2 linked regions of the Drosophila melanogaster genome follow. The main gene of each other region encodes a partner of the protein of the gene in region 2 in a complex. Each region holds a gene or a part of one and is shown on either strand. Other genes may lie near its edges.

Region 1 (5,142 bases), on a different chromosome or scaffold from region 2:
GTTATCTTGGCTTATCACAAACATTCATAGAAATGCTCTACATATTTTCCACAATCATTTGCTGATAATACTTTTGTTGTAGCCGGCAAAATTCCAGCTTATAGTAGTCACAAAATTTGAACTGCATGATTTCATTTTATGTGACTTAAATAAATATTCACATATTATGATAAAATGATTTCAAAATAAATACATTTACGTGACTTTAATTCGAAATATGTGTAGTACATTTTGAGGAACTTGATCACATTCCAGTCAAATATATGTCGATTTTTATATATTTATCGATTTGATGATCATAAAACGAAAGCAAAGAAACTCGAATCGTTGAATTATCTGTCCGAACCTCAACTCCACTTGACTGTACTACTTAACGCACATATCTTTCCACTCCAGTTCCTATTTAAGTGCAGGCCACTTAACACCGTCGAATTAAATCGAGTCAAATCAGGCGGATCCAAGATGCTCACCAGACAACCCGACTACACCATCTCCGAGCTGGGCCATCCCATCCATCAGTGGTCGGATTCGACCGCGTGCGAGTCCCTCAAGAAGCTGGACTACACAAAGATGCCCAGTTCTCCGCCATCACCACATCGCCTGCTGCCACTGAGGGAAACGTTGGACGATTGTTTCAAGCGCTTGACGATGAGGAGCAGAGAAGATTTCGAAGAGGATCCCGTATACCAGCAGAAATTGAGAAAGAATCAGTGCAATGAACAGCAGCGAAGGCGGTAAGGCAAATGGAAAACTTAAACAAAGCATTTCATAACAACATTTCCCCATCTTGTTTCTATTTGCACAATGGCCAAACTATCAGCAGCAATCAAAAATGTCGAGATAAAGCCCAGTCCGGAGCAACAACGACGACGACGACGACGACAACGATAGCGGCGAGCTGCGATTTAAACAATTTCTGAGATTAAAAAGAAGGAGGAAGAATACTTATGGGGGAAGCAACCTAAGCGGACTGACTAAAAGTGCTAAAATAAAACACCTTTTGCCTAGATCATTAAGTACATTAAATGTTAAGTAAAGAAAAAGCTATAGCACTTAATTTTCATTTAATTGCCAGCCACGCAGTTAGCATACAAAAACATATTCGAATGGAATTTCATCGGCCCATTAAAGTGTAAACAAATTGCGGAGAAGAGTAGTGAATAGAACAGAACAGAACTAAACAGGCTGGCAGCCAAAAATGGTGAGGAGACATTGGGGCAACCTTGATCATGAGCACGTCGCTATGGGGCCAACAAATTAATGCTCGAACGTGCTTTCTTTAAATGGCTAAACGCGTGCGATCGCAGCAGATCTCTATTCGCAGCGGAAGAATCTGCGATCTTCTAATGGTTATGGAAGTCCATAGTGGCAGATCTAGCAAATCTAGACCTTATCACTTGTGGAGATACTGTGCTAAGCCATACGAGTGAAATCACTGCGATATATTAGGTTGTAGTATAATAAGTTAAAAACTCTCTCTTAATAAAGAATAACAAACGCGTTCTCAGCTAAATTCTACACATAAATTCTATACACAAACATAAATAAATTGAAAACCACAGTCGCAGGCATAGCAAATCAATTAAAGCACAATCGATACAGTAATTAAATTGATTGCTCTTCTTCAGATTTTCTGAATTACCCCAATATTTGTATTCTTTCCGGCACCCAAAGCAGTCTGGTGACATGCGTTCCATATGGCGACACAAGCACACCAATTGCCATAGCACTCTCACACAATTTTGCCAAGTTGAAGGTTTCTAGTTATACTCGCGATCGTGCTCTTGATCTCCCGCTTGATTGGGCTTAATGTGTGCCCAGCTAGTAATTACTTCAATATACATAGATATATACGTTGGCTCAACCAAGTGTAACTCACCTAAAGAGGTTGTCCGAGATCAGCAGCGTTTCGATGGCCTGCGACTCGGCGGCTTGGAGGACATGTTTCTTTCCATAGAAGGCCTTGGCGGGCTCACATTGCAGCATCATGTAGAATTGTTCCAGGGCCTTGACCTCGCCAGCTGCCTTGGTGTCAGACATCTTGGCCAGCACGGCGGGATCCTGTAGAATTTCTGAAGGCAAGAATTTGACTTAGAACATATCTCTTCATAAGGGTAAATGGCTCACCTCTTAAGGAGTGCTTAAATCCCGAGGATGCGTGCACCAGCATAAACTTGCTCTTGTTGTCCAGCAGCAGCTTGTAATCCATTTTGACCGCCTGCTGGAACATGTAGTCATAGAACTGATCGCGCACGAATCCCGGCGACGCAATCAACACACACTTGACCACATCGAAGTTGACGTGCCGCAGGATGCTCTGCATAACCTGCTCGTAGAACTTGGCCAGTCCCTTCTCGTGTTGCTGGACACTGCCCTTGCGCTTGCGCGGTATGGAGACCTCAATCTTGCTCCGCACCAGGGTCATACTGGCGGTGATCAGGCAGACGTGTGCTAATCCCTCCTGCATCACAACGGCGGCTACATCCGCAGACTGTGTGGGATCGCAGGCCATTTCGATGCGCTCTAAGGCAATTGTGTCCCATTCCGGCTTACGCAGCTCGAACTTGCGATTCAGCTCCAGGTCGAGGGTGTGATAGGCGCCCATCTTGACATACTGGTTCTCCTCGATGTTTCTGCCTTTAAGGCGGAGCACACAAGCCTGCGTATCAAAATCTATGCTCTCCACTGCGATGGTTAGTGTGGTGCGCACCCGGCTGCTGGTGGAGGAGCCAGTAGCCGTTTCATTCTGCACCTTGCGAATAGTGGTGCTGCGCACGCTGTCGCCTTTCGCAATCAAATTGTAGGCGTGCCACATATCCTCGGACTCCTCCGGCACCAGGGTCACATTTCTAAAAGAATTTTCGAGGCATAACGAAAATAGTTTAAGACTCTGGGGATATTCACTCACCCCTGCATGCCCTTGTCCACGTATTTGCCCAGCAGCTTCATCCCGTCTCGTTGCTGGTCAGGATTTGGTATTTGTTTCGTCGGCAGGCACTGCCTTTATACCGAGTGCTTTGATTCCTCTAGCCGCTTGTCACTTGCACCCAGATTCCAGTAATTCCCTCCGTTCACAAAGGCGGCGGTGCATCGTTGTCATTGGGTTCACGCAGTTGCTAAGTTCACACCGCTGATCGAATCGGCAGGATGGTGTGGCAATGGTGGTGGTCAGTAGAATCGGCGGCCAAGTGACATTCACCAGGGGCGAACGGTGATGTGCGACTGGCTATTTTGCCGCCAGGATTGGCTTTCTTAAAGTAGTTTGCATAAGCTACCATTCAGATTTTTTTCTATTTCTATGAATAAATAACTTATAGTTATAAATAAATATTCTACATGCACATGTACATTTTGGTCTGGTTCAATAATTTATATGAAATAAGCTTATATTAAACTAGCTTATTTATTTGCCAGCACTTTGCCGGCTATACCAGCTGACCCCTTTGGTTTAGTATTTTCTGGTATTTTTCGGCATTGGTATCCGGTGTCCAAAAATTGGGCACTCCAAGCCAACCATGTGCGTTGGAAACAACAATTGCATTAAAGAATACACATGTTTATTCAAAATTTCAATTTGAAATTACCACTTTGTACGAATGTTCACTTAAATCTAAAGGGTTACTAGACTAGCAGTCGCTCGATCTCCTGCTGAATGGAGGTGATCTGCGACTTGAGCTGGCTGCCCTCGTTGGTGGTCACAGAGCAGGCGACTATTGGCCGGGAAACTCCGCACGCACGCCCCAAGGCCTGCTTGGAACGAACGAAGACGTAGGGCACGTTCTTGTCCTCGCACAGGAGCGGCAAATGGAGCAGAATCTCGATGGGCTCCGCATCACCGGCCAGCACCACAATATCGGCCAGTCCGCGATTGAGGGTCTTGGTGGCCTCGTTGGCTCCCTTGCGCAGTTGATTGTAGTTCAATGCTTGCTGCAGCAAGTTCATGATCTTGGCGGTAAGCTGGGCATCGGCCAGCGGGAATGCCTTGGGATTAACTTCCTCAGTCTGCAAAGATTGGGATACTTGTTGAAATTTACATCTCTCGATGCTAACGTGGATGCACTCACCATATTGGCTTGTTTATTGTATACTTTTACTGGAAAAAAGTGCTTTAAAATGCAACCTCTCCGCTTGCTGCTTCACTGAGGGCAATTGCAGAACAATTGAAATCGCTTTCAAACACGTGCGTTAGCGTTAGAAAACCGTTCGCAGGTGGTTCGGAAATACCAAATAAGACTGGTCATACTGCCATCTAGGCAATACTAATCGTAACGGAAATTGTGTTCTCTGCAGCCCTAGCTTAAATATACTTTTGATAATTTAAGGGAATTCCCAAATAGAATTTCATAAAATAAAAAAGGAAATCCATTTAAAAATATTTCGTAAAATCGAATCTAAACTTACTTCATAATACAACGTTTCATTAAACAAGTGCTCTATTTTTATTAAAAATTATATCTTTCATGCAGCTTAGAACTCTTTAAACATAACAATAAAATAATCCTTACAGCTTACGAATTATATATTATTATAATTATTTATTAAAATTTTGGATAACCGCTAGCTATTTCCGATCATTTAGATTTTCAGACGGAATAGAACCCGCGCAGTAGGGATTACTCATGATTGCGCCGCACGGTTCACGCTGAGCGAGCTGCCTATCGCTGGCCTACTCACACCTGCGTGCTGGGGCGCATCCGCGAGTCGCGTCAGTCGAAAAAAAAACTTTGAACGATTTGGTCGGGAAAACTCGGTTCGGCGGCTATGCGGGTATTTTTAATCTAAGCCATCAATCCACAGCTACAGTGCATCAAATCGATCGGAAAGTCGAGGCAATATTTCTGAAAGTGTTTACAAATCGCTGGCATCGTAGTCGTAAATTTCAAAAAGGTAATTTCGCGCAGCGAAAATGGAAAAGCAAAGTCAAACAAACTCAGAAAAAGGAAATGAATGTAAAAAATCGATTATTCAATCTGTGTATGTGTATGTTGGTGTGTGTGTGTTAGGTGAGCGCTGAGTGTGTATGCGTGTACGATAGTGTTTGTTTAAACCACGGGATTTTTTTATGCCCAAATCGAATGGCGAAAATTTAGCACACCGAGCAATAAAGGCCAATTTAACTAATTTAAAGTGTGCGAAATGTGG
Region 2 (4,733 bases):
AAGATTATTTTTCGATTGCCTACAGAAGATTACTTGGCTTCTTCTAAAACAGGTTTTGTGGTTTATCGCGGTTTGGTGATGATTTCGTTAGATTTGGTCATAAGATAGCTAAGATAGCAGTCTACAAATTTGATTTGAGCGGTATTTGAGGCTTAAGCGCCCACTCGGCATTTCCACTTTGTTGAATGTGGACTTTAAGACCCTTATCAACCATTTGCGGGGTTATCGCGGGGTTGGATTGCCGCCAAAGGCGAGGCGCAATCAAATTCGCGTTTACCACTCGTTTATATTGGCAAGAGAAGCCCGACAAGTGCGAACTGCGATGAGCTGCTGGCTGGTTTCGGCTTGCTGGGCTGGCCAACTGGTTCCAGCTGACCGCAGGCGAAGGCCACCCCCCCCCCTCCTCCTCCTCCTCCTCCTCCTTCTCCTGCTCTTGATCCGCGCGAGAAACAGCAGAGACCCTTATGACGAAATTTATGCGCAATGATTTTTACAATTGAATGCCAAATTAGGCTGGACGTCTGCATTTATAATCCCCATAATTACACGTCGTTTCTGCAGTTGCGACACGCCATGCATGGCTAATGGGATGGAAGAAGGCATGGTATCCATCACGCACGCGCCGCTCGGCTAACTTATTCAGGTGCTTCCGGCGGGAATAAGGAAGTGGCCAGCCCGCAGAACACCAGATGCCCAGCTGGTCGAACGTACAATTGTACGATGTACACATAGTATAAACACAACAATAACCGGAATCACAGTCACAATGGGAATGGGAATGGAGCTCCTTGTTTGGCACACAGCGGCGGCCGCGGTGGCGACGAAAATGGTGCCAGTAATCGCTGCCCACGCAGGCAGATAGATCAAAGAAGACCTGTTTTCACCAGAGAACGAGCCTAGCCCACTCACTTGGGGTCCTGAATCCGGATGGAGACGTCTTCGGTGGAGCGACCTTGCTTGCCTCTCATGGGCGTGGATATCACGGTGGAGCCATAGACGCGTATCGCCTCGTCGGTCTCCTCCTCGAAGGCGTCGTGAATGGAGAAGCCCCTGGCCCCGTTGTTGTACATATTTTCTGGCTTGGATTCTCTGCGTTTTTCTTTCCCTGTTTCCGTTGCCCGTTGTTTAATAATAAACGAGTGCGCTGGAGATTCGGATTCGGGCTGCCAACGTTGGCTGCCAGCACGGCGGAAATCGGGGGAGATGCGGCTCCGACTTAGTGCTGCCCCGCCTGCATTTTCGGGCACTCCGTATTCGCAATGTTTTGCACTGATTTCTGCGCCCGTAACCGTGGAAAAAGTGTTTTTCTTTTCACATTAAAACGCGACACAAAGCAAAAAAATATTCAGACTCGCAGCAATGTGACCGTTCCTCGGGGGTGGTTAAATACTGTGTGGGGGTGGCTGCCAGCCTGCTTGGTATATTTAAGCACACATCATTGTTCACACAAGGCCGCATCAATTATGCTTAAACGGTTTCACACTTGCACCAATGTTGTTCCTTCTTTCGACCTTATAACATATTTGAAAAATGTGCAGATTTTAAAAATAACAAATTATTAGATTCTTATGTCAATTGATTGATACATGAAGCAAATCAGAACAGTCGCCTCTCCGCTAGTGGCAATACCTTCTAACCGTACTATTGTACTAAAAACTCCTGGTCAAAGTGCCGCAAAATACCAAACCTCTAAAAAGGCAGCCACACCTGCACGCACCTTTATTATTTTTGATGAAATTCTGACCCTGCTCCGTAAATTGTGAAATACAGAGTCCTCCAAAATGTCGCGGCACAGGATAGTGCGCACCATGGACTACAATGATGAGTACGACGGCTACGACGACATCTACGGGCACTCCGTGGAGGACGAGCACTGCATCTCGCCCACGGATGCCCAGCAATGGCTCTACGATCGGGCTCGTGGCCAGCAGAGCATCTCGGCGTTCATCAGCAAGAACAAGGACATCCAAGAGGAGGAGGCCGACGAGGATGAGGACGAGGACGCCGCCTTCGCCAAGGCTCGCCGCGACTCCGAGAGCTTCCAAATGCCGCAACTGGACGAGATCGAGCAGGCCAAGCTGAGCTCCTGCGTGGACGAGGTGCGCAGCGTGGTGGGCGATGCCGTCTCCGAGCGCCGCATCGTGGAGACATCCATGAAATTCGACTATGACATGCAGAAGATCCTGGACGAGATCCTCAACGAAGAGACCAACAAGTCTGCCAAGCCGGCTGTGAATAAGATGAAAGCGCCCGCTGCTCCAGTGCTGCCAAAGACGGTCAGCAAAACGGTGCCTACGCCACCACCCAAGATCAGCCTTAAAGAGCCGCGACGTGGCTTCGAAATACCCTCGCCCAAGGTGCCCTCATCGCCTGTGGTCTCGGGCAGAAACACACCCGTTGACATTAGCGCCGGCGACGACATCTCCCGTAGCTCAGCAACCGTTTTCAAGGTCTCCAAGGAACAGGCCGTGCGCAATGCCCGCCAGCTGTACGAGAAGGAGCGAGCCGACCAGAAGAGCCACATTCACATGATTGTCATTGGTCACGTCGACGCCGGGAAGAGTACGCTGATGGGCCATCTACTGTACGACACCGGCAACGTTTCGCAGCGAGTGATGCACAAGCACGAGCAGGAGTCCAAGAAGCTGGGCAAGCAGAGCTTCATGTATGCCTGGGTGCTGGACGAGACGGGCGAGGAGCGGGCCCGCGGCATCACCATGGACGTGGGCCAGTCGCGTATCGAAACCAAGACCAAGATCGTCACACTGCTGGATGCTCCGGGGCACAAGGACTTCATTCCGAACATGATCTCCGGTGCCACACAGGCGGATGTTGCCCTTCTGGTGGTGGATGCTACAAGGGGAGAGTTTGAATCCGGCTTTGAGCTCGGCGGACAGACTAGAGAGCACGCCATTCTAGTGCGATCCCTGGGGGTTAACCAGCTAGGCGTGGTCATCAACAAGCTGGACACCGTTGGCTGGTCCCAGGACCGATTCACAGAGATTGTGACCAAGCTAAAGTCCTTCCTCAAACTGGCGGGCTTCAAGGATTCCGATGTGAGTTTTACGCCCTGTTCCGGACTAACCGGCGAGAACCTCACCAAGAAAGCCCAGGAACCCGCCCTGACCAACTGGTACAGTGGACGCCACCTCCTCGATGTCATTGAGAACTTCAAGATCCCCGAAAGAGCCATCGACAGACCGCTGCGAATGTCCGTGTCGGACATTTACAAGGGCACTGGCTCCGGATTCTGCATCTCGGGACGAGTGGAAACCGGAGTGCTGTGCCTGAACGACAAGGTGCTGGTGGGTGCCAGCCGGGAGCAGGCCCAAGTGAAATCCCTTACCATGAACGAATTCCCACAGACTTGCGTGTTCGCCGGCGATCAGGTCTCCGTCACCCTGCCCGCCTTGGACATCAACAACGTCACCGTGGGCTGCATCATCAGCGATCCACAAACCCCTATTCCGGTGACAACGCGATTCCAGGCCCGCATAATCGTGTTCAACGTCAAGGTGCCCATTACCATGGGCTTCCCCGTGCTGCTGCACCACCAATCCCTAATAGAGCCCGCCGTGGTCTGCAAGCTGACCGCATCGATTCACAAGAGCACCGGCGAGGTGGTCAAGAAGAAGCCGCGTTGCCTGGGCAACAACTCGTGTGCCCTAGTGGAACTGGAAACCAGCAGACCCATCTGCATCGAGCGGTATGCGGACTTCAAGGAGCTGGGACGCGTGATGCTTCGCGTGGCGGGAGTCACCATTGCCGCCGGAATGGTCACCAAGATCCGCTAGGTCGATGACCGCGCTGGATTTTGTACGAAATTTTAGTTAGATATTAACTTTTGTTGATTTCCTAAATATACATAGTTTATATGAATTGATTAAATCGAAAAGACGCTGAAGCATTGGAAGAGATTTCGGTCTGACCATTTTAGCGGTATCTTAAAGTGGAGTGTGTTTTTCATGGAATTAATCACTTTAAGAAATTATTATATTTATTATCATTGAATTAATCATAAGGAATATAATTACAATTTATACATAAATTGCAATATCACGTTTTTGGAATATTATGACCCCTACAATAATATTCCAAAAACGTGATATTGCAATTTTTGTATAAATTGTAATTATTTTCCTTATGATAAATTCTATGATTCAAAACTGTATCTCGAAAATGTGAATATGCGGCTGACTAAAATTCTGAATGCGAATCATATTGCTGATTCATGAAACAATCAAGCATTAGAATTTTTTCTTAAACTATCGGCAACACAGCTTATATATTATTTGCAAATTATGCTTAAAAAATAAAATAGGAATACCATAAAATATCACTTACTGTAGAAAACAATTTCAATATGAAATCGTATTAACAAAATTAAAATTAAAAAAAAATATATAGGGAAAATAACAATTTAAATATTTCCAAAATTTGATGTGCTAATATAAATTTAAAAGAATCAAATATATTTCGAATATAAATTTTATAGTTTATTTTTAAAATTTACAGCAATGCTTTAAAAGTGTCATCGCTAAGCCATTGCGATAGTCGTGCGTAGCCCTCGGCCTGCGAGTGCCGATAGTGCCATCGATGCTTTGGCAGCCCTAGTCTTTGAGTGTTCGCTGTTCGCTGAGGGCGAAAAAGTAAAGAAATTACAAGGCAAACTAGTGTTAAATTAAAAGTGAAGCGATTCGCGAGCGGCGACAGGTGAAGCGGTCCCCAAGGAG

The links.
Region 1: HBS1 (region 2) and pelo share a complex: the UniProt entries of both Drosophila melanogaster proteins name them as parts of the pelota-HBS1L complex.

Annotation. Positions count from the first base shown.
Region 1 is NT_033779.5:9,698,860-9,704,001, reverse strand, and holds the start of pelo (pelota), read right to left. Parts: upstream 3,193-5,142; 5' UTR 2,950-3,192; coding exon 2,909-2,949; intron 2,850-2,908; coding exon 2,128-2,849; intron 2,073-2,127; coding exon 1,880-2,072; intron 1,561-1,879; exon of another isoform or gene 921-1,560; coding exon of another isoform or gene 821-920; intron 735-820; coding exon of another isoform or gene 463-734; exon of another isoform or gene 397-462; intron 1-396. Other genes in the region: CG31710 (uncharacterized protein), read left to right, coding at 463-734, 821-920; hoip (hoi-polloi), read right to left, coding at 3,622-4,002, 4,065-4,067. UniProt on the Drosophila melanogaster protein: Component of the Pelota-HBS1L complex, a complex that recognizes stalled ribosomes and triggers the No-Go Decay (NGD) pathway.
Region 2 is NT_037436.4:1,862,094-1,866,826, reverse strand, and holds HBS1 (HBS1), read left to right. Parts: upstream 1-1,586; 5' UTR 1,587-1,781; coding exon 1,782-3,794; 3' UTR 3,795-3,946; downstream 3,947-4,733. Other genes in the region: CG12025 (uncharacterized protein), read right to left, coding at 910-1,070. UniProt on the Drosophila melanogaster protein: GTPase component of the Pelota-HBS1L complex, a complex that recognizes stalled ribosomes and triggers the No-Go Decay (NGD) pathway.